Oreochromis niloticus: one gene and its partner. The protein of the gene in region 2 purifies or fractionates together with the protein of the main gene of each other region. This does not show direct contact. Links are inferred from orthologs where the notes say so. Each region holds a gene or a part of one and is shown on either strand. Other genes may lie near its edges.

Region 1 (16,071 bases), on a different chromosome or scaffold from region 2:
CAAATACACATGAAAATATTATTTGTAATTTTTATTATTATTAATGTCTGATTTTATTTGTATCTCATTAAAAACAGATACCGAGATCTGATCCTGGAGGGCAGATCATAGTCAAACTTTATATACACCATCTGCCTGTTAGCGGGCGTGTCGTGTGACGTGGCACGGGGAGCGGAAGAGCTTGTTTGTGTTTTGGTTCTAAGGGGAAGTTGCGAGAAGAAAGAAAGGAGGAGACGTGACAGGATTGTTGAAATTATTTTCTCGGTCCCCCCTCCCCTGACACCAGCTCATCACACTGTCCCAGGTTCTGTGTGCGAACTGCAGCGGTGCTATTTAAAGTTGTACATCGCCTGGCTCTCAGGTAAAGTACTTGTCACGAATCGACGAGTTGTGGTTTGCAGCTGGCTCGGTGACATGACGCCGCCGTTTGTTTAGTTGTCATCGGTGACTTCGTTAGTTAGCTGTGTCGCTAGCTAAGTGCAGCTGATGTCGATGGTGTTTGGTGGCACAGGGGATGCAGAAATGCGGGCCTTTGTCCTGTCGAGTCCGCTTGTTCTCTTGTATACCAGTAGCAAATGGCTAATAATGTCTGGTATAGCAGGTAGCATGGCAGGCTTACAGTGACTTTGCTAATAGGTGGACTGGGTTCAGTGGGTCTAATGCTAACAGTGACAGCAAGCTAACGTTAGTGTTTGTTAATTGAGGGGCTCAGCTATTCCCCTTGAATCAACATTAGCTAAACGGCACAGGCAATCAGGGTTTCAATTCGAAAGAAAAAAAAAACTATGGCGTTAGTTTTGTGCAGATAGCTGTCGTGTTGTTTTTATGTCCTTACAGCAGTTCGGAGACTAATGACACCAGACAGCTAGGAATGCTAAGCTTTGCTAACAAGCTAGAGAACAAAAACACTTTGGGGAAAATGGCGGCCCCCTCTAACATCAAAACAGACCGATAGCCACTGCTAACACCGAGCAAGTGTGTTCATAGTCAACTAACGAGGGTTAAAGCCAAATATGCGCGTCGCAGTCATGCAATGCGCAGCGTTTGCTGACAGTCCGTGTCATGAGTGTGGGTAAATACGGTCACTGTTCTCATTCCAGTTCCTGGAGCATGTTTGTTTTCTTGCTGCGCGTCTTCAAGACTTCGTCTCAAGGATGAGTCGATTGAGATAAGGTTGAAATGTTTTGGCATGACCTCGCCGGTCAATTTATTGACTCGTTTCCCCAAAGCTCTTTATTTGAAATACACCCAGAAATCTGGTGGCTAAGGTAAAGGAAATCTTTACCTTATATGAATGCCTTCAGACTTTAGTGTTGCGACACAAGTAAGAACGGTTTGCCACAGATGTGGGTTAGTGACGCACAGGTTCATAATGTGTGTGAAAAAAAAAGTAAATGTTATTTATAGAGCTCATTTTGAAATGACTGGAGTTGTCCACAAGTGCTGTACAGGCACACTCATTTTGTAATCCAAGTCTCAAGAACAATTACAAACATGGAGCTTGCATAAACAGGGAACATAATAAAATATAATATTTAAGAAAAGAAATCAGAAAACAACTATGTTCTACCAATGCTAAACAGTCAAGTAAAACAGTAGTAGAAAACATTTACAGTGTGTTTGACCAAACCCTGGGGGACCTGAGGCTAGACTAAAAGCAGCTAAAACAGATATGTCATTAGAGCTCATCTAAAATGATCAGTTGTTGAACCAGTCCCCATGAGCCTAGGGGCAATAACCGCAAAGTCCTAGCTGACTGTAGTTTTTAGGCAAGAAGGGGACACTGAAAGAAGAAGTTAGGATGATGATGTCAGGGATTTGGAGGCAAAAATATGGTTACTTTATAGACTGACTTGCCTGTTTTTGCAATTTTGTTCAGAGTACATTTATAGCTTTATCCTCTCAGTTATCTTGCAGTTTATAAGAACATTATAAGCACGTGTTAACTCTTAACTTATATAATTAAGTAGCACTTTTCTACTTGGAGCAGTCTCAGCTACTACTACTCGTTCATCCAATCACACATAAATGCATACAAGTGCTTTTTTTCTTTACCTAAGCACCTTTTCTATCATTTGCACACACTCTAATTCACAATGGAGGCATTGCAGGCAACTCAGGGTTCAGTGCTTTCCCCAAGGATACTTCAGCATGAATACTGGAGTATCCGGGGAATCTATCCCACAACCTTTCAAGCCACAGCCACTGAAATGTGTCGTATGCTATTATGTACAGCTACCTTACAGTATAATATAATTCAGTACAACATCTTCATAAACTGCCATTGAGCCTACAGCCACCACAGATTAATGCCTCTCCTCAACAGAGTGTGACTTGTGTGGTTAACAAAGGTTGCTTTGTGCTTTATTGCACTGCACCATATATGTGAGTTTGATGCGAGGCGAAAGGCCAGTTTTTGGTCAGGCACAAGATTCCACTAAATTCACCCTGTAAGGTCAGACATAAGCCGTGATTATGTCCTTACAACAGCCGTCTGTGTTTTTTTAGAAATTCTGAGCTGTTCATTCCCAAATAAGTTAGTAAGCACTGCATGCACACATGGTATGCATGCATGCATGCAATGGTTCTCGCAGTTGTACCACACTTGAGTAATCTGGGTGGGTCTTTCCCCGGCTCTCTTTTGAGTTTGCCACGAATCACTGTTGTAGTTCATGACAAGGCTTCCTTTTCCTGGTGTTACTGTAAGTTACATTCATGAAGAAGTGTCCTAAATTTGGCCTGTCGAAAGTCGCACATGCATTCAGAACAGGCCTTTGTATGTTTGAAATGCTTGCAAGTTATTTTTACTGACTTGAAATGTTCACAGAATAATTCATTTATTAGCCTTATAAAATTACATTTACAGCCATAATTTGCAGATAAAAAAGATAGCTAATTGATACAGGCTATCATTTTCTATGCACTGTGTATGAATTATATTGGAATATATTTGAATTTATTGATCACATAAATATCTTCATGTTGCCTAAACTGCAGTGTGAAAACCACCTGTTTCTTTGAAACACTCTGTGTGGGAAATCCTTCTTAATTCATAACAAATTGAAGTGATACCAGTGGGTGAATGCTTGACTTTGATGTATGAAAGTATGAGTGAGAGATCTATCAGTTTTTTCTATGTAGTCTGCTCTGATGAACTTTCATTGGCCTTTATATCCCAGTCAAAATGTCAAAAGATTACCAAATTTAGTTACTTTTTTCTAGTAGCCTATTCATTAGTCTGATTCTAGTTTTCATAAGAGTTGTAATTTTAATAATGATTTTCAGAGGAAGCTGATCTTATAATTATACATTTGTTGCATGATTTCAATATATGAGTAATGCTCATTTGTCTTAAATGTCCGACTGTCATCTATACAAAAGTAACTGTTCCATTCTTGTTATGACTTGTTAAACTGCATTGGAAGGGAAAAGCATATTAGCAGAGGTTTTGTTACATTTGTTTGAAATTACAAATCTCTTAGAGTTTAATATCTTTTTTTACTCTGTGAACATGTTTGTTTTCGTGCTTCCTGCAGCAGAAGTCCCGACAGTGAGGTTCAGCACACAGGATACCTGGGATCTGACTAGGTCATGGCCAATCGAGGAGGAGCTACGAGACCCAATGGACCAAATGCAGGGAATAAGATCTGTCAGTTTAAGCTGGTGCTGTTGGGGGAATCGGCTGTGGGGAAGTCCAGCTTAGTGCTTCGCTTCGTCAAGGGCCAGTTCCATGAATTCCAGGAAAGCACAATAGGAGGTAAGGTCATGTCATCAAATCAGGATGTTTCTGACAACCTGACAGTTCTGTTTTTTTTGTTTTGTTTGTTTGTTTTCCTGAGAAGTCCCCATTCAGAATTTAGAAGACTGATGCTTTTGTGTTGACACATTCACAGCTCTGTTGTTTATATGACCTCGTAAAGATATAGTTTTGGTGTCGTTAATGATCACGCATAAAATGACTCATCTCTTCCTGTCTCCACAGCGGCTTTCCTAACCCAAACAGTGTGTCTTGATGACACAACAGTGAAATTTGAAATCTGGGACACTGCAGGCCAGGAGCGTTACCACAGTTTGGCACCAATGTATTACAGAGGAGCACAAGCTGCCATTGTGGTCTACGACATCACAAACGAGGCACGTTCATCCTTGACTAAGACCCAGGCCTTCCAGAGCACTTGTAGAGCAAGTTAAAACATGAAAGTAGCATTAGATGTTGACAAGTGGTACCGTGTCTTCATTTGTTTTTCAGGAGTCCTTTGCACGGGCCAAGAACTGGGTGAAGGAGCTACAACGACAAGCTAGCCCTAATATAGTCATCGCTCTGTCAGGAAACAAAGCTGATCTGGCCAACAAAAGAGCTGTGGACTTCCAGGTCAGTCTAGACAAACCTTAGACTGTGTCTTAGGCTTTGATTATTTTACAATTTTTATTTATTAATTAATTTATTTTTAATCTAATATCTCTGTGACCTTTCTGTGTGGAGTTTGTATGTTCTTCCTGTGTCTGCGTGGTTTATCTCCGGGTACTCCAGCCTCCTCCCACAGTCCAAGCACATGTAGTTAGTACAGTTATTTAATTGGTGATTCTAAATCGCTCATGGGTGTGAATATGAGTGTGAATGGCTGTCTGTACCTCTCTGTTAGCCCTGCGACAGGCTGGCGACCCGTCTCCAGCCCTACCGCAAAGTGGAGTTGGATGAGGGGAGGAAAATAGGTGGATGGCTGAATGATCACATTCGAAGCGGACGCTGCATTCTAGAGCCACGACTTCCATTTTTAATTATCCTCTAATTGTGTTTCTCCTATGCCTGAAGAAATGTGTGTTGGAGAATGTTTTGAAAATTGTTTACATTGTGTCAACAGGACGCCCAGTCCTACGCAGATGACAACAGCTTACTTTTCATGGAGACATCGGCCAAAACGTCTATGAATGTGAATGAGATATTTATGGCCATTGGTGGGTAACTTTTAGGATTCAATTTGTAGATATTTGTTTTTCTGCACATTTCTGTTATTCAGAGTTAGAACTGTTGCCTCATAGCAAGAAGGTCATGGCTTCAAGCCCAGTTTAGGGCTCCTTCTGTGTGGAATTTGCATGTTTTCTGCTTGCCTGAGCTTTCTACTGTAGCTCCAGTTTTCTTCTACTGAAAAACACACAAGGTTTACGACGCCGCTGTTAGGCTTGGACAATCACAAATTCCTAAAGGGTTTCAGTTCCTGCTTTAAATACGAGTTAAAAATTAACTGGAGGACAAGGTCAAACTAGTATGATTGATGTTTTTTTGTTTTTTTTTGTTAATGTATTTTTTTTTTTTTTAATCATTTGTAGCTTCTCTTTCCTGAAAATTGTTTTATTATATGTTTGTTTTTTTGTTTTTGATTTCTTCCAGCAAAGAGATTGCCAAAAAATGAGCCTCAGCCTGCAGGAGCAAACACTGGGCGCAGCCGGGGAGTGGACCTGACAGAAGCTGCCCAGCCAGCCAAGGCTCCATGCTGCAGTAACTAACATGAAGAACACCCTCCTCCCTACCAACCTGTATGGCAGTAACTAATGTGGTCAATGCCCCAAATGCCACTGCAGTTACTAATGCAATGTGTCATCTACTCTCTGAAACAAGAAAATATGCCCTCCGCTCGCCACCCCACCCATCCACTTTTAACAAATTCATTGCCATCACACTGATCTTTCTTTGCAGCTCTGCCTCTTTTCCTCCACTATGGTTCTGCTGCTACCCGGGGAAGCCTCCTAACCACTTTGTCTTACTTTCTGCCATCGAGCTTGTTACATCTATCGTATTATTGATAGATCAGTGATAGCAGATATTAGAAACATTAGAGCACCCTTCCTCGCATTGTCATCATCTTTACAGCGTGTAGACACGAGTTTCATCTGGAGGAAGTGATCACTTCTCTTTTCTGGGATAGCTTAAGTCTTTAATATTGCATTTCTAATACCAGTCTTCTGTTTTTGTTCAATTTTTTATAACTTTGTTGATTATTGTTTACTGTAATTTTGTCAAACTTGTGGATGCAAATGCTAGCATATTTAGACGGCCTAAAAGTTAAAAAGAGTTACACATTTAATCTGCAGTAGAGCAGAAAAAGTTGGTTGGAGGAGTGTGTTCTTGTTAGTCTCAGAAAGAGGAAAGGTGGAGGGCGCAGAGAGAAACTGTAGGTTCTGTCTCTCTTGTTGTTTCTAGGGCCCTTTATCTCGTAGCTGGGGGAAAAAAAAGAAGAGTTGGTCCTTATAACCCCACTCCCTCCATTAAACCCAACGTAGCACTAGTGCATAGCTTCTCACACCACCTTGTCTCCATTCTGGGCCCGTGCCTGCTCATAGCTGTCCTTCGTGGCATTGTGCAATGTTTCACAGTATTTACTCTGTGAGTTGAGTTGTCTGCAAGGGCCAGTGCTGCGCAGCAAATCCCCTTGTGTCTACAAACACAGCGCAGAGGCCTCTACGGTACACGTCAGTGTCACCACCTGCCCACCTCATGATGTGTCCGTCCATAAACCTTGTGTAGACCACCCTTTTGTTGTCATACTGCGGTCTCTTGGGTTTCTGCTTTTCAACGATTTATTCTTGTGCGAATACTTTTTCCATTGTGTCAATGTTGCTCGACTGCTGGGTTTGCACTGGGGGGTAAATCGAAGGTGATAGCAGTGAGTGGGGAGTTGCAATATGTAAAGTTGCTTCTTAATTAATATCGGAATCATAAATGTTTGACATCTTCTCTCGATTAGAAAGTGCTTTAGACACGGCGGTGTGTCATTCTGTACAAAGCCCGGCCCGGGTTTGCTGTCTGGTGACAGATCACATCCTTCGACTTATTCACACGCATTTATCCGTGTGTTTTGTTGTTTTGGGGGTTTTTTTTGAACACACATTTGCACAATTAAACACACACACGCCACTGACTTGTCGTCCCCCTCCCAACCTTCCCCTATTCCCTGTGAGACCTAAACATCACTGTACATGAACACACACACTGTCTGTTACACATCATCCACACCTTTGTCAAGCACACACTCTGTCCCACCGACACACAACCCCCCTTATTGTTACACACACGCACGCACACACACACACACACACACACGCACATAGAGTACTTTTAGTAAATAACTCTTTTTACAGGTCTGTCTTACTCATGCCTTGCACTAATGATGCTCATGAATATATCTTGTCATGATTTCAGCCAGTGTGATATATAAATATATATATATAAATATATAAATATAAATATATAAATAATATACTGTAAATAAGGTGTTGCAGTGTAGTCTACCTTTTTTCAATTTACCAATGACAGGACTAATGCTTGCTAGGGAGTTGTCTAGATAATCATAAAAAAGTGTACAGTTAGCAGGAAGGAGAAAAAAAACAGCTACAATCTGGGTTTGGAGTTTTGTTGCTGTTCCTTTTTTTTCTTTGTCTTTTTTTTTTTTTTTTTTTTTTTTACACATATAAATGGTTAAATTATAATCAGTGGTGGTCTTTATAAATGTATCTAGTGTTTATTAACAACAACAAAAAAATGAAATTGCATTTATTTAGCCATCTGTCTTGTACATTTATGTCATAAAAAATATATCCAAACGTTTTTTTTTTTTTGTTTGTTTGTTTTTAATATTATCTCTTTACTTTACACTTCTCCATTTTTTTTTTTTCTTGTCTATGCCTTGTCCAGAACTATTCCTCCTCCTACTCCTCCCTGTAAGTAGACGTGAGCTTTCAGAGGCACAGGTTGTAAAACTCCAGAGGAGTCGGACACCACGCTGCACAGTTTTTGAGCTTTCCTCCGTCTGTCCTCCTACATCTCGGTAACATTGTGACGATAATTGTAGGAACAGTAAAACAACTATCAGCTGGCACGATGGCGGTTTATGAATAGATGATTTAACACATAATAGGGATGCAAATTGTAATTTTTTTTGTTTTGTTTTGTTTTTGCAGTGAACACTTATTTGCAGCCGGAAACATTTAAATGCAAGCATTTTACAGTACTGTTATGTAATGACCAAATAAATACTGAAATAAATTTGATCATTTATTATTGTAATCAGGCGGTGTGTATGTGTGCGTGCCTTTATTTCCTCTGGACCTCAATAGCTTTTTTTTTTTTTTTTTAAACTTTTTACGTCTACCACTCTATATATCTGTTTGTTTTGTCCTCTGGAGGTTATGACCTACACCTTTACTTGCCTCATACTCATCATGAAACTGATGAAAGCTTCTAATCATCATCAATCCTGAACTTTAACCTTTTTTTTGTTGTTGTTGTTTGGGTGAGCATCCTTAAGACATTTCCATATGTTTACTGATATAATGTGAAAATATTTTTAAGGGTCTATAAATATATTTCTAAATAGTGTTGCTATTCATTTCAGTAATTTTTCAGTATAGTCTTGAAAGTCGCCTGTGCCTGACTGAAGGTATGCATCCACTTTTTTTCCCTCCCACCATGTTTGACCTTGAAATTTTGCTATAAATGGTTGCATTTTGTGACCTCTCCTCTTTGAATTGTTGTGGAGTTGGCCTATCCCATGAAGGTCCCCTAGCGGAGGAAAATGGGCCTACAGCGAGAAATTGAAAATAAGGATGAGCGCCATGTCTGATCCTCCGTTTGTGGAATAGAGCGGACGGCGCAGCGAATATTCCCCGGGCTGGCGGTCCCTTCGGGTTTCGGTGGGAATCATGGCCGACAGCGCTGGGATTCAGCAAGGTTCGCCGGCCATCGGAGCCGCGGGCCTGGTTCCGGCCGCTCCTGGAGCCGGAGGCACGGAGGGCTCCGGCGCCGCTAGAGGATCCGCACGTATCGCCGTGAAGAAGGCACAACTACGCTCCTCGCCTCGGCCCAAGAAACTGGAAAAACTCGGAGTATATTCATCCTGCAAAGTATGCCACATCTGCAAAAGCAGGGCTTTGAAGCGGGGTAGTTTTCGGGGCTCATACTTAAAGTGTGGTGCATTTCCTGGGCTTGGTTGCAATAGTTTTCAAAATGCAAGCGCAGCAAAGGAAGCCATTGCCGCACTTGAGTTTCTTTTTTTTCTTTTGCATGCATGAACCACTTACTGAAGAGGTAATACTAAAAAAAAAAAAAATCTTGACACGTTAAGTGTTTTGGAGGTTTTTTTTACATCTGGACTTTTCAGCAGGGGCCTTGCAGCTGCAGCCTGTTACAGTGTTACTGTTTCTGTCAAGGTGGGGGGTTGGTGAACGTAAACATTGGCTTGACGCTGGTTTTGGGAGTAGCTGGCTGTGTGCACAAGGTCTGGATACGCGTGTGTGTGGTCGTGCACGGTCTCGTGTTTCCACTGGAAATTTCACAGCGTCCCCGTGCAGTCCGTCATAGCAGGGGGGGTAAACAGAGAGGAGTTTATTGGGCTTATGCAGCGTATGATCCGCAGAGAGGGACGGGGTCTTTGTTTTGACAGGGTGACAGCTGCTGGCGGGGGCGGAGTTTGTTGTTGTTTCAGGGCGCATGCTCAGAACAGCACCTTCAGCTGATCGTGTTCCCGCCCCCTGTTACTGTAGACAGTCGGGCATAACTTCTCTTGTTTGACCTGAGAGAGCCTGGAAAAGCTGCAGTTTGCTTTTAAGATATTTATGGAATAAAAAAGCAAAGCTTAACAAGTTGAATGGTTCTCCTTAATTGTTCAGTATAATCTGCCCCCATTTATTGCTCACTTGCTGCTTTTAATGTAAATACTGTCGTGTTTGTGCCTGCTTGTACTAATTTAACCTCTATTTATTGCAGGCTGAAGGAGCCTGTAAGTGTAATGGCTGGAAAAGTCAGAATCCCCCTCCTACACCTCCTCAAACAGAGCAGCAGTCCAACGCAGTCAACCTCCAGGAGCCCTGTCGGAGCTGCTCTCACACTTTGGGTAAGTGGGCATGCCCACCAGAGAAGCTGCATCAGAAAATAATACCAAGAAGGGTAAGCTAGATGAATTTCATTGGCTTATTTCTTCTTTCCAGGTGATCATGTGACCCATCTAGAAAATGTTTCAGAGGAGGAAATGAACAGGCTTCTTGGTATTGTTCTGGATGTGGAGTATCTGTACACGTGCATTCACAAAGAGGAGGATGCTGACACTAAACAAGTCTACTTTTCCCTCTTCAAAGTAATTTTACTGCTTTACACTCCGTTTGAAGCAAGGTACAGTTTTCAGATCTCGCTCACTTTAAACAAACGCCATCTTTTTCCGTTGTCAGCTGCTGAGGAAATCCATCCTGCAGATGGGTAAACCAATGTTAGAAGCACAGGAGAGTCCGCCGTTTGAAAAGCCCAGCATCGAGCAGGTAGAGAAACAAGTCTCCACTGCACAGACTCTTTCATCCTCTGATCTTTATCTTAATTTTGATGTATTTGTTCTTTCTTTTACTCCACGTTTTCAAAATAGGGGGTGAACAATTTTGTCCAGTACAAATTCAGCCACCTGCCATCTAAAGAACGCCAAACCATTATGGAGCTGGCTAAGATGTTTCTCAACCAGATCAACTACTGGCAGTTGGAAACGCCCTCTCAAAGACGCCAAAGGGTGCCCAACGATGACGCAGCTGGATACAAAGTCAACTACACTAGGTAGCAGAGTAGACAGATAATCTTGTGCCTGCCTTTCCTGCACCAGTACAGTTACAAGCTGTAAGATAATTATGGGATATGCTTGTTCCAGATGGCTCTGCTACTGCAATGTGCCTCAGTTCTGTGACAGCCTGCCCCGCTACGAGACCACTCAGATCTTCGGGCGGACGCTTTTGCGTTCTGTCTTCACTGTGATGAGGAAACAGCTGCTGGAGCAGGCCAGACAGGAGAAGGACAAGCTCCCTCCTGAGAAACGCACACTCATTCTTACACACTTTCCCAAGTAAGAGATACAGAAGGCTCACATGCAGTTAGCCACACAGGCCTTCAAGTAGCTACACTCTGGGATGTGCTTCACATCCTCAGTATGAAACCAGACTGTAGCCACTTATGTAAAGTTGACTGCTTGTTTTAATATAGTTAAGTAGTTGTTGTGATTTCTCTGCTCAGGTTCTTGTCAATGCTGGAGGAGGAAGTTTACAGTCATAACTCTCCAATCTGGAGCCAAGACTTCTTGGCAGGGGCAGCAGGAGGGCAGATTCCTATCCACACAGGTGACACGCCCTCCCACGCACCTTCACCGAAACGCCTCTCAAGATGACACTTGTTTTGTTTTTTTTTAAGAAAAGGTTAAAGCCTATGACTGAATAAATTCAATTCCCTCTGTGTCTTTTTGTAGTTATAAGTGCTGCTTCAGTGGCCAGGCCGCTGTACTACAGCACCAGTCCCGTGTCAGTAGACCCGTCCACCTGCGGCAGTGTCAGTCCTGCCAGGAAGGCAGCTTCTGTACTGGAACCAAACCCAGGTATTGCTGACAAACCTGTTATTACTCATGAGGTTTCAGTTAAGCCAACTTATTGCGTAACAGTGCAACAACAAAAAGTGTGGACCTGAGTGAAGTCAGCCTTGTTTTCCACATTTAAAAGTAGAATAGAATAGAACAGAATAGAATAGAACAATCCTTTAATTGTCCCACAAGGGGAAATTTGGTTGTAACAGCAGCCAGAAAGTGCAACGGTTCCTACTTTACAGCGAGATTACTCAAGTCAGCCGTCCTTTAAGATAGTTTCTAGTTTTGGAGATTCTTATGCTTTTAATGTAACGCTGTTTTAAGTGCTGCCTCTAAGATCTGTCATCACATGAAGGTGAAGTAAACCCCAGAGCTGCTTCTAACAAACAAGTACATATAGGTTCAAAATGAAGACTGAGGATAGGAGACTTCAAATGTCCGTCACTTGTTTACCAACCATACCAACAGTACCATATCACCCCAACAGAGCACTTTGCTCTCAGACTGCAGGTTAACTTGTGGTTCCTAGGATATGTAAAAGTAGAATGGGAGGCAGAGGCTTCAGCTTTCACACATCTCATTCTGTAGAACCAGTTTCCAGGATTTCTGTCTCCTGCTTTCTTCTTTTTCCCTCTAACACCAGTCACAACAGATGGCTGCCTCTCCCACAGCCTGGTTCTGTTGGAGCTTTCTTCCTGTTAAAAGGGAGTTTTTCTATCCCACTGTTGCCAAGTGCTTGCTCAGAGGGGGTCGTCTGATTGTTGGGGTTTTTTCTCTAATATTGTTTTTACCTTACAACATAAAGCACCTTGAGTAATGAGAGCTTTCCTCTGTGTACACTCCCCCAGCTGGAGAAAAGCGTAAACCCTCTGAGCCCCTTCCCCATGAGGAAAACAAGAGACCCAGGGTGGTTGGTGACATCCCCATGGACCTTATCAATGAAGTCATGGCGACTATCACTGATCCTGCTGCCATTCCAGAGGTAACCCATTATTGTTTAGTCACAGCATGGAGTCCAATTAGTTGGAAGTGAATTTAATCTTCATATGAAAAGTAGTAATTTGGGCTAAAATTCTATAATTTCTATAATTATAGCCCACCTATAAGCTGTTTGTCAGAAACTGTATCAGAGTGCTCGTGAGGCCTGATGATTTCCACTTCCTCTTCATGTATAACGCTCTCTGTTATGTTATCTTTGCCATGTTGAAAACTTAATCGCGAGCTTCATATGATTTCTGAAGCAATCACTACGGCGCGGTGTCATGTATGAGTGGGATAATATAACGGCCCTTTTTACAGCTTCTCCTGCTGTTGCTGTATGTGACAAAAAGTAAAAGTGATAAGACACCTTCAGGGTAAACCAGTGCATATCGCTCCAGCTTCTGATACACAGCCGTTTTCTTGAAACCTTTCTGTCAGTCAAGATGCCTCACATCTGTAAATCAAGTGAAGACAAACTAAAATGGCCCGTGCTCTCTTCTTCAGTTGTTTTGGGGGTTACTCCTAGTATATTTTGAAACTGGCATCACCTGCAATGCTTTTCATTTTGACTCAAGTCTTGGATTTTTAAGAGAAATAAGAAGGCACTGCAGATTTGCAAAGGGCAGTTATGTAATCTTCACAGATACCATCCAGACCCGAAGCCTCTATCAGATTTTCCAGGCTGACACTTTATAACAAGAGTAAAAAGAATTAAAGTCATTAGATAATTGTAAATCTTCTCATCCTTCCAGCCTAATCATTTTCCTGTCAGTGTCAGATCTCATGGTAATTGGTCTTGATCTCCTTCCAAGCTGCCATAATGTGTCTGTATAGCACTTCATTTATTTTTTTAGTCGTAGGTTAATTGTCCCTGCACAAAATGTTCAAGTCCTCTGCACATCACAGCAAATTTTGGACCGTGATTTATTTGATACCTTCCTGTCTGTGCAGACCAGCCTGCTATCAGCTCACTCTGCACGTGACGAAGCCGCCCGCCTGGAGGAGCGCAGGGGCGTGATTGAATTCCACGTCATTGGGAACTCCCTAAACCAGAAGCCCAACAAGAGGATTTTGATGTGGCTCGTCGGCCTTCAGAACGTGTTCTCCCATCAGCTTCCCCGCATGCCCAAGGAGTACATCACGCGGCTGGTGTTCGATCCGTGAGTGTAACTCTGCCTCATCGTCACACCTTAAGTTCAGAAGTGCTATAGAAGCAGATTCCCTCTGTAAAATTCATCTTTTCTTCTGGCAGGAAACACAAAACGCTGTCCCTGATCAAGGACGGGAGAGTGATCGGAGGGATCTGCTTCCGGATGTTTCCATCGCAAGGCTTCACAGAGATTGTCTTCTGTGCCGTCACCTCCAACGAACAGGTCAAGGTGAGAGCGCGCCCAGCTTTATTTCTCAGCTTGGTGGGTATTCAGTGATATCTGGATGGCTGGCTCTAACCCTTTCCTGGCCTGACTGTGTGGTTGCAGGGTTATGGAACACATTTGATGAACCACCTGAAAGAATATCACATAAAGCATGAAATCCTCAATTTTCTCACTTATGCTGATGAATACGCCATTGGGTACTTTAAGAAACAGGTAACATGGTTCTTCTTGGACTGTGATAGATATTTACAATAATATAATAAATAGAGGCAGAACTGCTAGCGCGTGGCAGCTCCAGGATAAATTATTACTTCCTCCTTATCAGGGTTTCTCAAAAGACATAAAGGTTCCCAAGTCCAAGTATGTGGGCTACATCAAGGATTATGAAGGAGCCACACTCATGGGCTGTGAGCTCAACCCCAGCATCCCCTACACCGAGTTCTCTGTCATCATCAAGAAGCAGAAAGAGGTGTGTGGGTGACTTTTAAATCAACTCTTTAACATTTTATTGGTCTGAATGCTTCTTTCTGTCCCCTCAACTAAGATTTTTTTTCTCATTTGTTGCCTTCAGATAATCAAGAAGCTGATTGAGAGGAAACAGGCTCAGATCAGAAAAGTCTATCCAGGGCTGTCCTGTTTTAAGGATGGAGTCCGGCAGATTCCCATTGAGAGCATTCCTGGCATACGTATGTTATTCTTTTTCAGTGTTGGGTAACCTTGGCCTTTAAAAGTAGCTTGTTACATTACAAGATTATTGCCATTAAAAAGTAATGATTGCCATTACAGCATTAAATGCTGATGAAAGTAGGCCACTTACCACATACATCCTGTGCAATTAAGCTGTCCAACTTTTTGGTTATATTATCTACTGGGTTTTTATGGGCTTTGTCGTACATCTACCTCTATAATCACCACCAACTTTGTTAATTTCCTCGAAGCGACAGGTTAAGCAGAACTGAAAGCTAATTAATCAAATACTTTTGGGATTTAAAATCTGTTCTCTACGAAATCTGGATGGGTGGTTATTTTCTGTATGTACGGCTACCAGCCAAGGACTAGAGCAGGTTGCACGTGAATGCAAGAATTATGATGAATTTTTTGAATTTGTTTTGTGGCAACAAGACAAGCAGTAATTGCAATGTCACTACTTTATATCCACGTCCATCTTTTAAGCTATTGTCACACAAGAAAAACAGTGGTTGGAGACTGTAGGGCAACCAAAATTATTGCACTCAGCTCGCTATGTGGCTGCCTTTGAAGTGGTTGCTTTGAAGAAAGGAACCAGATATTAAACCACTTCCAGTCAGCTGCCATCTCTATAGAAACATTGGTGTGTCAGGACAGTGAGAAATCCGCAATAAGACTGAGTCAGCATCATGTCTGCTATTGCAGAGACTGACTGCAAGTTGTTTAGAGTCTGTTTTATAAAATTAGATGGGAATTCATTGCAGATGTTTGCCAGGTTTAGAGTGCCACACGCGCAACCTCTGCGCAACTATTTAGTCGTCCAACTACTTACAAAAACATTCTGCGCAATCATTCACCCAGCAGCATTTTTTGTGGTTACACAGAAGTTGCTGACCTATTTTTCCTCTAGTGACTAGAGAATGACTCCATTGTGGTGTATGAGTTTAATATTAGTTTATTTATATCAACAGGTGAAACTGGCTGGAAGCCTGTGGGCAAAGGGTAAGTTGCTCCGCTAATGATTTGGCTAATGTATTCACATCTTATATTGGATCATTTTTATCAATGATACAGTCAGACATTGTCTCTGGTCTTCATTTATGATAAAAATTTGCAGGCAATAATAACACGCATGCACATCTGGAAATAGCACTTAGCTAGCCTCAGTTTTATATCGTTCTTTCTACCATTTTTCACTCTTCAGGAAAGAACTGAAAGACCCCGATCAACTGTACAGCACTCTGAAAACCATCCTCCAACATGTGAAGGTGAGGGATAGACACGTGTAATGTGGTCTACATCTGACACACACGTACACAGACAAAGTTTTCTTAAAGCACTGCTTTATGTGTTTTAGAGTCACCAGAATGCCTGGCCTTTCATGGAGCCTGTGAAAAAAACAGAAGCACCTGGGTACTACCAAGTCATACGCTTCCCCATGGGTACGTGTGTTAACAAGTTGTGTATTACTAATTGTCTGCACTAGTCATTGCATAGTTGTACATTGTTTTGCAGTACGACAGCAGATCATTTCTAATTAAAGTCCACATCTTTTACTGTTGTTATTCAGCTGGCATTAAAGCATGAACTAAGTGGGGTTTATTTGTTAAATGCCATGCTCATTCAGCCACTGAGAGGTATCATAATTG
Region 2 (15,256 bases):
CAGTACACCATGCGACACAGGGAGAAGAAATAAAGGCAAACAGAAATCCCTGCCACACTAATGAAGGTAATATGTGGTTTCAGATAAGAAAAAAAAGCTTGGATGTTAATGGTAACCTGACTGCTAAATTACTTTTTATAATAAAGAATAGATATTTGAAGGATACTGCAACCTTACTCCTGGATTCTGACGCCCACACACTGTAGAATGGATTGTTCAAATGAACTCCCCTTCGGTAAGAGAGAAAACAACTTAATTTTTTTTTAAATCCACACTAATAACACAAAAAATGAAAAACATTTACCGGTACCTTTCACTCAGGTCAAATATGAGAAGAACAGAAGATCCAAACACCACAAGCCCAACTTGCCACCAATAAGCTGAGAGGCGATTCCTCTGACGTTGGTCCTGGTGATTTAATAAGAAAGAATAAGTAACAACTGGCAGGAAAGTGCAGAGAAATGCGCAACAGCAAACAAGAAAGACCTGCTAACCATGAGGTGTTCACCACAGAAGATGATCCAGAAACAGAAAAGTATAGAGTATAAGGCGCCCTGCTGGGCATCTTCAAACAGCAGCATCCATGTCCACTCAAAGCCCGTGGACAGCCACTCCACCGGCATGTCCAGGAAGGCCATTGAGAGGCCCAGAGCAAAAATCACCCTGAGCAGGACAAATACATCAGTGAAAGAAACACTTACATCCACTCTAACAGACAAATAACTCCTTCTGCTCTATTGCAAATGGAGCAATGACCTAGCTCGAGGCAATCATGCACTTTAGATCAAGCACTTTTCATTTCCTCTGCTTGGAAATGCTACACAGAAGTATGTTGGACTTCTGAAAAACAAGCTCTTAAAAGTATGCCAGAAGGTTTACTCGCAGTTTTAAGTTCTCATTGAGTATAAAAGAGCCAAGAGCTCCTTACAAGTAGCTGTATTGTATAACTTCACTCTACCTTTTAAATAAGATGATTTTGTTTCAGTCTGCAATAAAATTCAATGAAATCAATCCGCAGAGGCAGCAATCGCAACCTAAAGTGCTCAAAATTAAATATTCTTATTCTTATTCTTATTAGTGGTAGTAATAGCAGTAGTAGTAATAATATTATTAGTATTATTACATTGTTTTGTATCATTTGAGAAATGATTAAAATTCAACTCAGTATTATGACATAAAATTCATAAATATACTTAAATGTTAAAATGTCACTCTTAATCTCTCTTTCCACATGTATGCTAGCCAAAACATACTTTTCCAAAAGGACCGGAGGTCTCGCCAAGAGCCTAATCCTGTACCAGTACCAAACTGTAGCCACTGATATCCAGGGACTGAACACAGTCTTCATGCTGATCCACACTTTGGTGAAGCCTCCATTCTGGTGGATACCCTGAGAAAGAGGAGGGTCATCAGATGTTAGAGTGCAAAATTTTTAGCCTTTGGAGATTAATTCAAACACAACATGCCGTATAACAGAAGTTAACGTGTAAATACTCACCACTACATGGATGTCCTTTATTTCCCCGATGCCAACATTCATTGTGTCATTCACTGGCAAACGCAGGTTCATTAAAAAATATTTGTGGGCTACGCTTCCCAGCTCCATGAATGGTATGGGGTCACAGTGATAAAAGCGCCCTTCGTTTTCATACGTCTGAAACAACACTGAGTTTTTCCTCACTAAGCAAAGAAAAATGTAACAATTTTTCATTTCTGTGTATAACATGGAGTCATGCAGGTTTACCTTGGATACTGCAAATGTGCACCTGAGTGGCCTTTGCTCCACCGAGTGAAATTTTGTGGTCCACTCAGACGTCATGTCGTCCCTGTATGCCAGACGGGCATCGATAGTGATGACCACATCATCTTCTACACAGGCAGGAAAATTGCTCATTTTATTAGAAACCCACTGCAACTAGGAAACTACACTATTTACATTTCTGACAAAGACAAGACACGTCTTACCAATCTGATTTATCATTTTGAATGCAATGTCAAACTGCAGAACAGCCAGCATGTATTGAAACCACGGACTCATTTCAGTGTTGGGTAGGGGTACATGCACAGCAAAAACAATGTCGTTAGCATCGAGCGTTTTTGCCAAAGGGTCGTCAAAACTGTGGACCTGCTGGCATCGATTTGAGCCCCATGGCATGAGCCAAGCACGTGTCCTGTGGAAATTGATGCATTTGGTGGCCAAGTAGCGGATTGCAGTGGTAGGACTGGGAGCTATCGTAAAAGAAATCAGAGATATATTATGAAAAAAGACAGACTAAAGCTTAATCATTAAGAGCATTGGGAAAATTTGTTTTTCAGAGCGCTTCCAACACAAAAATATCGTGAATTAGACTTAATTTTCCTAAAATTGAATTCATTGAGGGCTATCCTGCATTTACAATCAAGCTGAGTAGCTCAAAAGCACACAAACAATAAAAAATATACAGTATGTGCAAAGAAACTCCATGCGAAAACTATAAATATAATTAAATAAGGAAACTCTAAATACAAGATGCAAAACTGTTCACCCAGGTGTAGAAACAAGCTAAACTGCTTGCAATCAAGAATTTAAATTTAATAAATGTTTAATTTTTAGAATACATTGTAAATTTATTATAAACAATTCATGCAGATCTTCCAGTCTCAGTAAAAATTTGAATATAGAGCCCACGACCTATGCTGTAACATCTAGCATGTAGTTCTTCTGATTTCGGGGTGTAATTACCAGTACTTAAAATTACTTATTGGTTCCTAAAGATAATTAAAATATAAGTAAATGAAAGTGAAAAAAGTGAGACAAATTATACTGTAATCATTTTTAGACAGAAACATGCCTGTACACCACAACACCAAACCCAGCTTGAATTTTTTTTTCTATAAAAGAATGGTACTTTAGTTCAATTTCTAAAAATTAAAAGACACTTTGAACAAACAATAAAAATAAGAAACTTGGTACAAATTTGAAAACAGTGAGGAAATCATTGAGAACATTAAAGGAATGTTGCCAGCTTTCATTGGCTGGCTGAGTAGAATCTGCAGTGCTGTAACATATAAGCCCATCTAAATGCACATAACAAAGATTAAATAAGATAAATTACCCCAAATAATTATTAGAAAACATTATTTGCAAATAAATTTAAAAATGTTTAAAAAAAAATCATCTACTTACATATCAATGCTCCAACCAAGATGGAAAATATTTGGAATAATAAAATGAAGAAAACAAATAAAACCAACTTTTTAGTGCTCATCTTCTCTATGATCGCTCCTGCCATTTGTGAGATATTTTGGGGTAAAAAAAATATATATAAAAAGAAAGTGTTGTCCAGACAAGCCAAGTGCTCCACTGAAGCTCATCTACCTGCTCACACACATCTGATTCTCATATGGGATGCGCCAGACATGAGGCTCAAACAGAGCATGTGCAAAAGGGACAGGTGGAGGAATCATTAGGCATTAAAAAGATCAGAGAACACTGGTCTATAAAACATGATTCCTTTATTGCTTAAAGAATACAACTTTGTAGTATAGGCAAGTGAATGTGTATCACAACTAGGTTACTTATCTTTACACTGAGGATTGACCACAGTCACAATGCAAATGTTTGATACTGCACCCAAGGAAAGGGGAAATAACAAATCTGGCCTCGATATCAAAGCGTCTTACAAAGTTATAGGTTAATAATATTTAACATTATTCACACTGATCTGGAGTCAGCAATGAGAATCACAGTAGCACCTACACCTTAAAAAGAAAACAAAACACGAACTCTGGGCTGTTAGTCTATCTTTGGTTCTATCAGACAAAAATATTCAGTTTTTCAAAGGTGCAGCTAAGAACCAATACTGTGTGTAGTTCAAGGTAGAAAGGAAACAACATAACGTTTCTGAATAAGCTAAAACAAAAATGTATTTTTCATTATTTAATAGTACAATTTCAATATTCACGGCCCCTCAATCCTTCCACTGTCGAACAAATAACTCCACAGAGGGGTAAAGAAAACCCTTTTTGACAAAATGGCAAAGACCAAGAGAAGAGGAATTAGATGCTCTGGAGTCGTCAGGAGCGATTCGCCTACACCACTGATTGTTATCTAGCACTATGGTTGACATAAACAAGCTAGTTGGTGCAGTACCTGAAAGAGCAAACACCTGCTGCACCATCACCAAACTTCAGTGAAATGTGCCTTCAGTGCATCCACAGTACATCCAGAAATCTACAAATTACTCACAACATAACATCAAGACTTAATTAAACGGAAGTAACTTAAAAAAGGGGGGGGGGGGGGGCAGGGGGATAATCAAAATTTTATTAACAGCTTTTCAAACCAAACAAATTTCAGGTTCTGGTATCATCATGTTGACATTCCCCTCCAACTCCATCTCCACTGTCAATACCAAATGTGCATTTTCCTTGTGTCACTGATGTGCACCAGCGGTCAAACACATCTCAAGTCTCTGTCAACAACAGCACTGGGAGGTTTGCCCGCCAACACTGTCCCAGGAAGGGATTCGGACAAGCTGAACAGTATCCTGGGATCATATGTCATCCTCTTCGTCTTCATCCTGAGAGGAACCGGCCTGTTGGGCAGCAGTGGCAGATGCTGCCGCCATCTGTGCCTGCTGGGCGGCCTGCTGCATCTGCAACCATTCCTGCTGAGCGAGTTCTGCCTGCTGCTGTCGCGCCTTCACAAACACAAGAGAGACACGAGACAGGCGAAGGTGAATGAGGATTATATCAGGCAATTAGAGAAGCTCATGGTGGTTGATATCTGATGTTTAATTAGAACTTGAATATTTTAAGACATTTTCGTGGTATGTCATTATAAGCACTGAACATTGGAAAAAAAAATTAAAATAAAGTGTCTGCAACATATTACTATCGCTGAATTATACTTGCTTATACTTGTTTCTAGAAAGGGATTGAGTTAATAATTAGCAAAGTACTGCTGAAAGTTAACTAAATGGATCTGTCATGCATTAGTGAACAGTATAGTGCAAATAATGTGCCTCAAGTGGTTATGTGTAACAGCCACTCAGCACACAGATGATTTAAATCGGACATGGCTTTGTTGTATTTCTCTCTAAAGGCTTACTCATTTCCTAAGGAACTTAGCACAAAACAAAAGACCAATCGCAAAAGACCTACTTCATCAAAACTCAGATCCCTACATAATGTGAAGTTCTGGTCCAATAATTTTGTTTATTATAACATTTCTGAGCAATCATATTTGTGCTGGTTTGTTTAATTATTTTTAGAACACAGTTTGGCAGCAATAAATTCACATTTTCAATTCCACTGTTTTCGTGGGCTCTGAAAGCAGCACAAAATGATTTCCTCTAGTCATAACTTCAAAAACAGCTATGCTCAGTTCAGTGGCTGTTGGAAGCACCTGGACATTTTCTAACAGTTGCTTTTTATCATTTTATTATGTCTTTGCTGTTTTTTAAACTTAATTATTAAAAGGCCCCTCAGGGTTAGACTAAATGACCTGGTATGGAAGTTAGTTCCCTGAGCTACTGTTTCTTGTGACGCCTCTCTCAAAATCATACCTTTGCAAACAATTCCTGTTGTTGCCTAAGGAGCTCTTCTTCAGGGATGCCCAGGTTCTCCAGTCTCGAACTGGCCTTCCTCCTCTTCAGGGCAACAGTTTTACACTCCTGCAGCACGTCTTTCACCTCCGTGATGTACGATGCGAAACCGAGGCTCTCGAGCGCTGCGGTGCGAAAGCAAGAGGCGAAAGTGTTTTAATTACTCTCTGTGGTTTAAGGCTCATTACATGGTGCTGCACACATACACACACCTTTCAGGGTACAGGGAAAACAAAGCTGGACTCACCGTTGATGACATGCTCTGGGGAAATGGTTTTCTTGTCCGACTTGTTGCATATTTCATTGGCTTCTGAGGATATGAGGTGGATGAACTCTGTGCAGCAGTTAACTACAAGCTCCCTGGCATCGTTGGCCACCCGTACGTTGGGGAGAGTTTCTTTAATCATTTTGTTGATAGCTGCTCTCGGGATGGTGAGGTCATCGTCATTTCCAGAGGAAGAAGCCATCGTGGCAGACGACGGGACAGAAACCAGAAAAAAAAAGAAACAGCAACTCCGATTCTCGACGGAAGGAAACTGTTAGGAGGCCTTCTCGTGTCGGCAGAATTAAAATATAACGGTCAGGTCAAGACAACGTCAACACAGAGTTAAATGTCATGTAGGAGAGTGACGCTTCCTCCAAGTTAGCCGGCTAGCTTAGCTATTAGCTAATAGTTGAAACAATTTCCGCAGAGTAGAGCCTTTGTAAGGAATGTGGTAGAAAAGAAACCGTTAGAAAACGCTAAAGCACATACACCAAAAAAGAAGACAAAAGGTTAATACTGTGTGAAAAGTGCTTAGCTAGCTAGCAGCCAGGCTAGCTAGTAGCTGTGGTCCCTGTCGCCAGAAAGCCGCAACGCAAAAAACAAGTGAAAGCGGAGAGCATGGCTACCGCTAAGCTAACAATGAAGTGCCTCCCGCATGGCTAAACAGTTAGCTGCATAGACACAGAAACAGGACACACGTGCCACAACACTGCCTGTTGTTCTATCCTGCATCGAGAGATGATTCGGACATTTCAGATAAGCAGAAACATGGTATCGATTCTTTTATACGTTTGAAATGTGGGCAACATTAGCTTGATTCAGTCCGGATGCAACGTCAAACAAAGAGCCGGATACCATTCTTCTTCTTTGGTGTTTAAAGCCTGTCTGAATCCCCTCGAGTCGCATTGCTGTGGCCTTGTGGTAGTTGTCGTCCATTACTGCCCTTAAAACATATGCTTGGGGAATTAATACACATGCTGGAAAAACAAAACAAAACAAATAAACTGAATATGTACTTTCTTACATTATCTATATATTTTGATGGTAGCTACAGTAATATTTCGTATACAGTCAGAGGACCACATCCCATATGCACCTCGCCTCCAAAATATAAAAGATGAGGCCAATCCATAGATGATTGTGTGAGTTTTATATCCAGGTATGTTTTTACTACATTATCTTTAAAATATGAAGCTGTTGCCAATCAGGTGCTTTCCAGATGGTATTGTGTGGAAGATCAAAATCCGACTCTAATTCTATCAATTTTGAAGAAATCCTGTACACCACTGGCTGAAAGGCAAACTCAAATCATGACAGAGTCTTCACTATAGTTTACAGATTACTCTAGACACTCATGGTTGTACCTATCTCCTGAATTTCACTTTTTTTGTTTGTTTTTCATATTCACCACTCCATAAGACCTGTTTCCACTGATCTTCAGTCCAGTTCAGCCATTTCTCCCTGTTTCCATAGTTCCAGTGAAACCTTTTCTAATGAAGCTTCTGTTCATGGATCAACTGATAGTCTTTGCTGGATTTTTTTGGACGGTATTACTTAAGGACATGACTTCCAGAGACTTTTCATCTGCTGTACACAGTTTTTCAGACCTTCCACTTCTTCTTTTGTCCTCCACTTGTCCAGTTTTATCACCAAAAAAAACTGCACACAGTGCCGCAATATGCCAGGTTTTCGCCCAATAGTTCACTGGGAATCACATTGTTGGTGCAACAACACTATTTTATGTCTGTCAAATTGTGTTATCTTTGGTATTTTCTGTAGATTCAGCTAAAGAAATGGAAACAAATTATGTGCTTTGGCGACAGGCTGCTAGTAACAAAGTGCCTAAAGACACAGTTTAGAATGGGTTCTTTGCTAAGCTGTCTGTTATGTGTTTACACAACACTGGTTCGTGTAGTGAACCAGTATCTTTGTACAGTACTGTATGTTACCCTCCTATGGTAAACATAATTATCAAGAGCATCTCTTTTAACCCTGTGATCTCCTCCCCGGAAGGGTACGTCTGATAACATGTCTACTAATGCTTTTTTATGTATATTTTCTCAGCACAAGCACAGATCTTGCTGAAACAAATTCGAGCCACAGTAATTTATGGCCCTGTTTCTGCAATTTTATTTTTAGACTTATCAATATTCAGCAGCATCCAGACTGGTTTCACAGGTGTTTGAATTTCCTAATAATTGTTTACTGCCATCTAGTGTCCACCAAGAGAATACCAGCTTTTATTTTGTTATTTTCTTTTTATATTCTAACATGCTTAATTTTCTGACCAAATCCTGTCAATATCATACAAAAAATAAATACATAAAAGTTTTCTCACATTAAAGTCCACGTGGTGCGAGACTCAGAATTCAACGGCTATATTCCAGATTAAGCCATGAGTAATTATGTTATGTAATCCAGCAGCTTAAGATAAGATAAGATAACCTTTATTAGTCACACACGTGGGAAATTTGTTAAGATTATGTAAGATATACATAATCTTCTGACACTGTAACAGAACCCATTAACAAAACAATGCTTTTAAAAAGACAAAAAAAGTTCATAAATTAGTCGTTATAACTCCGAACTACCTGATTTACTTTGATTTAATCTTGCTGTTCGTATAACTTTGCTTGCTTCCCATATGACACAAGGCTCAAGGGCTTGTCAACTTAAGACAGTTATGCTACTTGAATGCACCAGGGTGTGGTTTAAACCTGCAGGAGCTTACTGCCACGTATGAAAAGAGACTGCATTGTCATGGCATTTCATAGCTTTATTTATTTCAGGGAGGTAACACTGCTAGACAATAACAGCCAAATATGCCCATGTCACAAAAATAACAAAGATATGACATGATTCAGTTGCTCTTCTCTAACTTAAAACTCTTTCGGCTTCTCCAGTGCAAAAGCTTGATGAAGTTCAGGCTGGCAGTGAAGACCTTGTCGTGTTCAAACACCATTTTGTAAAACGTTTCAATCGGGAGGTCACCATTTGGGTCAGCGTACTTGAGTGTGGTCATAGGGGTATAGAGAGTGTTTGTCTGGTGCCGGAAAGGGGGATTGTCCATGATGATGATCTTGAGGGTGTGCTACGAAGAAAGATCATTCATAATATAGTTTATTGCTCTTGTAGTGCATTAAAGGTTAAAGGTGAAGTATTTGCTGAACGATACCTCTGCCACGTCCTCAGGAGTCTGTCCGAGGGTTTCAAAGATCTGTTTGTAGTTCTTTAAGTAGACATTTGTGAACATGTCAGCAGTCACTTTGTCTGCTTTGCTGAGATCAATCTTTAGGCCCTCGTCATAAACCTTACGCTCAAACTCGGTTATCACTGGACCTGGCTCTATCAGGCTGATGCTGAGGAAGAAATAGAAGAGAAGAACATTAAAAAACATGGAAAAATCTCTTGAAATAGGAAACTTGAGTTCAGTGCACAACTGTGAAAGGTAATTAAATATTACTTTCATTATACAGGAAACTTTAGAAACCACACTAAAATTCAGTTACCATTTGATACTGTGTTAGAACATGCCTAAACATCACAGTGTGCTGTGGTTTGCATATTTTCCTCCTAATGGTGCAGAAAGGGGTAGGTGTTGTTGTGCAATATGACTACACAAATATACCAGATGCAAGGGCTGGTTTTCAGGTAGTTTAGTTTTTGTTGCACTTTTTTTCTCACAAAAATGCCAGTAAAAGATGAACAGGAATAAAACATTATAGACTTAGTATCTTACTTCAGACCAAACCTCAGGGCTTGTATCGCTAGGCTTTCACAAAAGCCTTCCAATGCAAACTTAGATGCTGCGTAGATATCGTTGAATAAAATCCCTGAAACAGGGAAAGAAGTTGTGAAGCAACTGTCTTAAAAAATGTTCTCGTGATCAGCAGGTGAAGCAGCTCTTACCCTGAATCCCCATGACGCTGCTAATGACCACAATATGACCTTTTTTCCTTCTCTTCATGTCGGGCAGGATTTCCTTTAGTAATCGCACAAGTCCAAAGAAGTTGGTGTCCATGACACTTTTCATCTCTTCAATAGACTGACACTCAATGGGTCCAATCAGACCCATCCCAGCATTACTTACTGTGAAATAAGGTCACATACACACATATCATTTAAATTTCCATAGACAGTCGAAAAGCCAAATTAATACTGTTTTGAAGCAAATGGTAGGAGCTTACTGAGAATGTCTACCCTGCGCTCAGGCAGACTGTCCACGCAGGCTTTGATGGAAGCCTCGTCACATACGTCCAGCTGCTTGATCTCCAAGGTCCGGCCCAGGGTCCGACCTGCTGCCTCAACCAGAGGCTCAGCCTTACTCAGATTTCTCATGGTGGCATAGACTACAACAACAAAAACTCGTCTGAAGCTGTTGTGTTTTTATTGAATTCAGAACTGAAATTAAAATTTTACATTACATTTGAGAAACTATCACAATTTATCTCCACCAGGAGCGGCAAATGTGGATTTTTCTCAGATTTCATCTTTCAGGTGTTGCCTGTTACATCAGTACGACATGGTTAATAGTTACTCAGGGTAATCCACAGACCAGGAGGACCATTTCTTCCATAAAACACGTTTAAGATAAAAACTGTTGATGGTGAGCTGTGTGGATTGTTTCTGGAACCAGAGTTTTAAAAAAAGAACTTACCAATATTTTGTTTGTAGAAGAAACCCATTACATATTGATAATGTAAATAATGTGAATTTGATCAAGTAAATATCTTTCTAGTGAATGGTTTCAAAATGGTATTACATTTACACAGTTAACTTTAATGAATAGTCTGCAAAGTGTTCATAGTAGAAATTATTGAGCCAGACACAGCAGCCATGTAAAGTTCAAGTAAAGTTCAAGTACATGTGAGATGGTAATATTTTAAAACATCCTACACACTTCCAAAAAATTCAAAAAGAAAAACACCATTATGTTTTACACCCTTATGTGCTAGTTTTTTTTTCCACATATTTCCTCTAATTTCTGTCATTTGAAGCATTTTCAATCACAATTTGAATACATTATATTTTTCTTTGATTCCCTTTGATCCCTCCTGACACAGGGTTTTGAAATGTAGTCAACAACCCCAGCTATCTTAGAAAAAGTCTGTTAAAAAGTTACCCATGAACCTCTTCTTCTCATCTTTTGCAATATGGACAGCCAATGCGAGGCCAATCCCAGAGGAGCAGCCGGTGATGAGTACCACCTTCTGGTTCATCGTGCCTGGTTAGTGCTTTTCTTGCAGCTCCAGCAGTAGAGAATAAAACGAGAACAAAAGAGGAGAGGCAGCAGGCCACATACGGGCACTTTTAAAGCCCCTTCCTTAATCAGAGGTTTACAACTCAGCAAAAAGCTGTGTGCATATGGTCTGAAGATTAGTATCATTCGTGGCATTCACATGGTGCTGTTGCATGGTGAGGATTTAGGCTAATGATAAGTCCAGATGTAATATGAAGAAAATATCAGACCTATAAGCATCATCTTATTTAAATAAAATAAAATACAATCAGACAATGGTGAAATATTTTATTTAAATTTGGAATTTCCCACAAATTTTTTTGCAATGAAGACAGCAAAAAGTATATTTTTTGTAAAAATGTGGAGAAGTTCATTTGTGATTTTTAAAAGAATCTATTTAAAACACATTTTCAAAATAATTTTGAGTACATTTTAAGGCCACACTTAACCTAGACAATGTAGTGGGCTGTTTTGTTTTTTTGGTTTTTCAAAGTAGATGTAAAAAAAAAAAAACATTCATTGCTGTAGCAAATAAAACTTTCTCAACATAGTTTTTTTTTTTTTTTTTTTTTTTTACTGTGGGCTGTGAATTATTAAATTCAGTTTTTTTAATATGTACCCTACTGCTCAAAGTTTTGAGATAAAAAAGAATTTTTGAAAATCAAAGTCAAGTTGATGAGAAATGCTATTAATATTTAACATGAACAATGTTTTTTTAATATCTATGCTGACACACACAGGCCCGTTTTAACCAACTGCCACTCATCTGTTGTAATAGCACACTGAGTCACCTAAAGCAAGTCTATCCCATTAAATTTCATTAATCATTCAGTTACAATCATCTCGTCTGAAGTTTGTGAAGCTGAGTTAAGCATTATTGTCAGTAAGTTTGGTTATAGTCTCAAGAAAACAAAACAAAAAAATAACGTGTACTACTTTCACAAAACAGGAATAAGTGGCTCTGACTGGAAACTAGAGAGCACAACTGAGTAGGACAGCTAAATCAGAACCTTTTGGTTCCAAAACAGACGCCTCACGGGTCATTAAATGGTATCTCTAAGAGCCAAATTTTGTTGGTTTGTCATGAGAATACCTAAAGCTGCTGTATGAAAATTTCAGTTATCTGGTCATTTTCTCCTATAGCCTCAAACAGCCTTCATTTATTAGAAAAGGAAAAACTTACACATGTTGCTGGAACACAGCACTGACAGCTGCTGAAAAGGGCCTGAATGCACTTACATAGATATTGCCTTAAAAATCAGTAATTAATCATTACTTCTCTTCTATAACACTTATGAAAATTTTAATGTTATTTTCTGTAAAAGCCAATGCACTTTTTCTTTCAAAGAGATGTGACTCCAAACCTTTAAGCAGTAGCTTAAATATGATTATTTTTTGTTTTACTCTGAAAAAATGGGTTGGAAATCGGATGGGTAACGTTTTAACCTGCACCACAGCTTTAAGCACATATTTGCATCTGCACTTTACCTGCAGAGAAGTTCCATCTTACGTGTCAATTTATGCTTTAAGGTCAACAAAACGTCAAACATCAAAACTATCCTGATTTTTCAGAGATGCTTAAAATGTGTGTTTTTTCCTATTAAATTCTACTGGGCATAAAGATTTTGGGACCACATCTTTGGGTCCCAAGCTTGGAACCATCCAGTGAAGGACGGGATCTCTTCCCCCTGCTTCAGGATGGTGATGGGGGTACCACGGCGGCCAGAGGGGTCTGAATCCACATATTGTTTGGCTGAAAGGAAAACAGGATATATTTGTGAACTGAGGTCTCTTCTGTACAGTAGCCTTAAAGGGCCATTCACTATAGTTTAATTCAAATTGGAGCTAAAATTATAAGAAGGGTGGTAAATTTAGAAATAAATGTAAAATAATATTATTTAATATTCTTTACAATTATTCAGTCATAAATTTGCAAGATTACAATTTTAAATGTCCAACAAAAATATTTTATTCTCTGAGAGTAAATCAAGAAATTTACAAACAACATAATATGAGAAAAAAAGTCTTAAATTTCTGAGATTATAGTCAAATTTTTGAGAAAATAAATTTGTAAATTTGTAACTCAATCTCAAAAATTAATCTCAAGAAATTGTTTTTTAGGTAAATTTGGTCATTTCCTTACTCATAAAATTACAATAGTTATCTCAAATAAAATATATTTGCTCTCAGAATGAATATCTATAATTCATGCCTTATTTTCTGGGAAAATGATTCCCTCTATATAATTTTTTATTCTCCCTGAATTGACCCTGTTGCTGTATTTCTGTAATTCCTTCTCATGTCTAATAGTTTTCTCTTACCCATCTTTGGTGATTCAAGTTTCTCCGTTTCATTTGCTTCGTTTCCAATCCAAACAAAGATCTGATGGGAACAGTAACCAAAGAGCTCAAGGATCAAAAGGAGGAAAACATAAACTAGCCACAACTCGAGTGTTTCATCAAAAGTGCTTTTATACCTGATCCCATGTGTCCAGAATCATGACATCATCAGTTGCCAGATCGATCTGTGAGAAGTCCCCGGGAACTTCTTCAACCTGAAAATTGATCAGCACACAGTTACAAAGTGGCCATTTAAAAATTGTTTAACTAGTTGGTAAGAAAACAATATATCTGTTTATATAAATATAACTACTTACATTAAAAAAAATCTGATTGATGAACACTTGAATACTCACTGTTAGCCTGCCAGTTTTGTTTGAACATCCAAACAGTCGTGGTTGTCGGACCACTCCCTGAAGGGCCTTGGACGTCTGGTATTCTTTCTTACCACCCAGAGCAGCCCAGAAAACAGCTGGAAACAAGGAGAAAAGGACAGTTTTCTACTGGGGACATCTCACAAGTACTACTTTGTGGAAATCAAAGCTCTTCCGGCTCTTACCAGGCTCCTGTGTCTCCTCCACCCCAGTAGCAGTTCCTCCAAGGAGGCTGGCAACATAGTTAGCTGCAGCCATCTCATCTGAACTTGCACCCTTTCCCTTCCACAGGAAAAGGCAATCAGGAGTCTTCAGCACAAACACATCATTGGTGTTCAGAGAGGATGCAGTGGGCTCCACCTGTGTAGGTGCGACACCAAGATAGGGAGGAGTGGTGGCATCTGTTCATTATAAAGAACCAGTTTATTAACGTTCAGTGTAATAAATGAGGCTGACCTCAACAGCTCGTGTGGTATTGTTGCCGCTCTTGCGGATATGAAAGAGCCGTGTGCTGCTTGGCTTAGTCTCGCCACACTTGCGGGATGTCCCACCCTGATGGATGACCATGGGCTTGTCCTTAAACAAGCTCACAAGATGGGGGGGTTCTTTACCTTGAGTGACCCGAACCTGTGGAGATACAGCCACACAGTCATTAAATTTGATGAGGAGACTGATCCCAGACTTATCTCTAAGTACAGCTGGGAGCTGGTTAATAGGAGCTCAGGGTAAAGACTGAAAACAGGCGACAGCAGTTCCTCTGTATGAAGGTTAAAAACATCCACCTACCTCTTGTTCTCCAATTTCTATACTAAGCTAACAGCTGCAAGATGCCAAGGAGGTCATGTTTTGGGTAGCGTCTGCATGCATGTCATTTTGTCAGTTTGTAAACACAATAGCTTAAACATTTTTGAATGAATTCTGAAAAAACTTTGTAGGTGTGTTGAATGGGGTCATGTTAACACTCCATTAAAATCTGGTTTAAATCCACCAAAGTCTTCAAGGTCAACTTAATGATTTGTTGGTTGAAAATGGAAAAAAAAAAAGCCTGTTAATGTGAATGATTTTGCAAGTGTGTTGTGTATTTTATTGCTTCTTGTTCATAATATAAAAGATGGACCTGAGAGTTGCATCATTCCTTTCACTAACTGTTGCCAGGTACTTTTATTTCTTAACATTTTAACTCTTACCTGTGTTGCTACTCCACCCATGGAATCATCCAGCTTGACGGTGAGGAAGGCCGAAGCAGTCAGTTCATCCTGAGTGCATTTCTGCCCTTGCCTACAGCAAGCAAAATTAAGCACAATTAAATATGATATTCACAATTAAGGTATAAAAGTAATGTTTCAAAAACTCTTGATTCTCTCAGCACCCTCACACAGCTTACAAAAACACTAAATACATAAACTGACTACCCACAATTATATTTTATTATTTTACCACAAGTTTAAGAA

What was found.
Region 1: the proteins of dr1 (region 2) and kat2b purify together in Homo sapiens (affinity purification with mass spectrometry; 3 studies listed by BioGRID and IntAct, with this or other methods). This does not show direct contact. The link is inferred for Oreochromis niloticus from reciprocal best matches to the Homo sapiens genes DR1 and KAT2B.

Annotation. Positions count from the first base shown.
Region 1 is NC_031985.2:21,841,703-21,857,773, forward strand, and holds the start of kat2b (histone acetyltransferase KAT2B), read left to right. Parts: upstream 1-8,205; 5' UTR 8,206-8,697; coding exon 8,698-8,898; intron 8,899-9,760; coding exon 9,761-9,887; intron 9,888-9,981; coding exon 9,982-10,127; intron 10,128-10,218; coding exon 10,219-10,305; intron 10,306-10,406; coding exon 10,407-10,588; intron 10,589-10,679; coding exon 10,680-10,871; intron 10,872-11,038; coding exon 11,039-11,142; intron 11,143-11,267; coding exon 11,268-11,393; intron 11,394-12,226; coding exon 12,227-12,360; intron 12,361-13,310; coding exon 13,311-13,519; intron 13,520-13,611; coding exon 13,612-13,738; intron 13,739-13,837; coding exon 13,838-13,948; intron 13,949-14,060; coding exon 14,061-14,204; intron 14,205-14,306; coding exon 14,307-14,421; intron 14,422-15,393; coding exon 15,394-15,424; intron 15,425-15,626; coding exon 15,627-15,690; intron 15,691-15,779; coding exon 15,780-15,864; intron 15,865-16,071. Other genes in the region: ras-related protein Rab-5A, read left to right, coding at 3,592-3,757, 3,983-4,134, 4,250-4,372, 4,863-4,956, 5,390-5,505. UniProt on the Homo sapiens protein: Functions as a histone acetyltransferase (HAT) to promote transcriptional activation. Has significant histone acetyltransferase activity with core histones (H3 and H4), and also with nucleosome core particles.
Region 2 is NC_031986.2:31,173,902-31,189,157, forward strand, and holds dr1 (protein Dr1), read right to left. Parts: upstream 6,746-15,256; 5' UTR 6,056-6,745; coding exon 5,836-6,055; intron 5,714-5,835; coding exon 5,550-5,713; intron 4,683-5,549; coding exon 4,536-4,682; 3' UTR 3,479-4,535; downstream 1-3,478. Other genes in the region: protein wntless homolog, read right to left, coding at 1-11; protein wntless homolog, read right to left, coding at 80-230, 311-408, 495-663, 1,254-1,390, 1,499-1,654, 1,745-1,869, 1,966-2,229, 3,167-3,272; zgc:109982 (retinol dehydrogenase 8), read right to left, coding at 8,714-8,944, 9,029-9,212, 9,593-9,686, 9,763-9,942, 10,041-10,202, 10,976-11,072; scinla (scinderin like a), read right to left, coding at 12,700-12,845, 13,414-13,474, 13,569-13,646, 13,788-13,903, 13,991-14,165, 14,262-14,432, 14,993-15,083. UniProt on the Homo sapiens protein: The association of the DR1/DRAP1 heterodimer with TBP results in a functional repression of both activated and basal transcription of class II genes.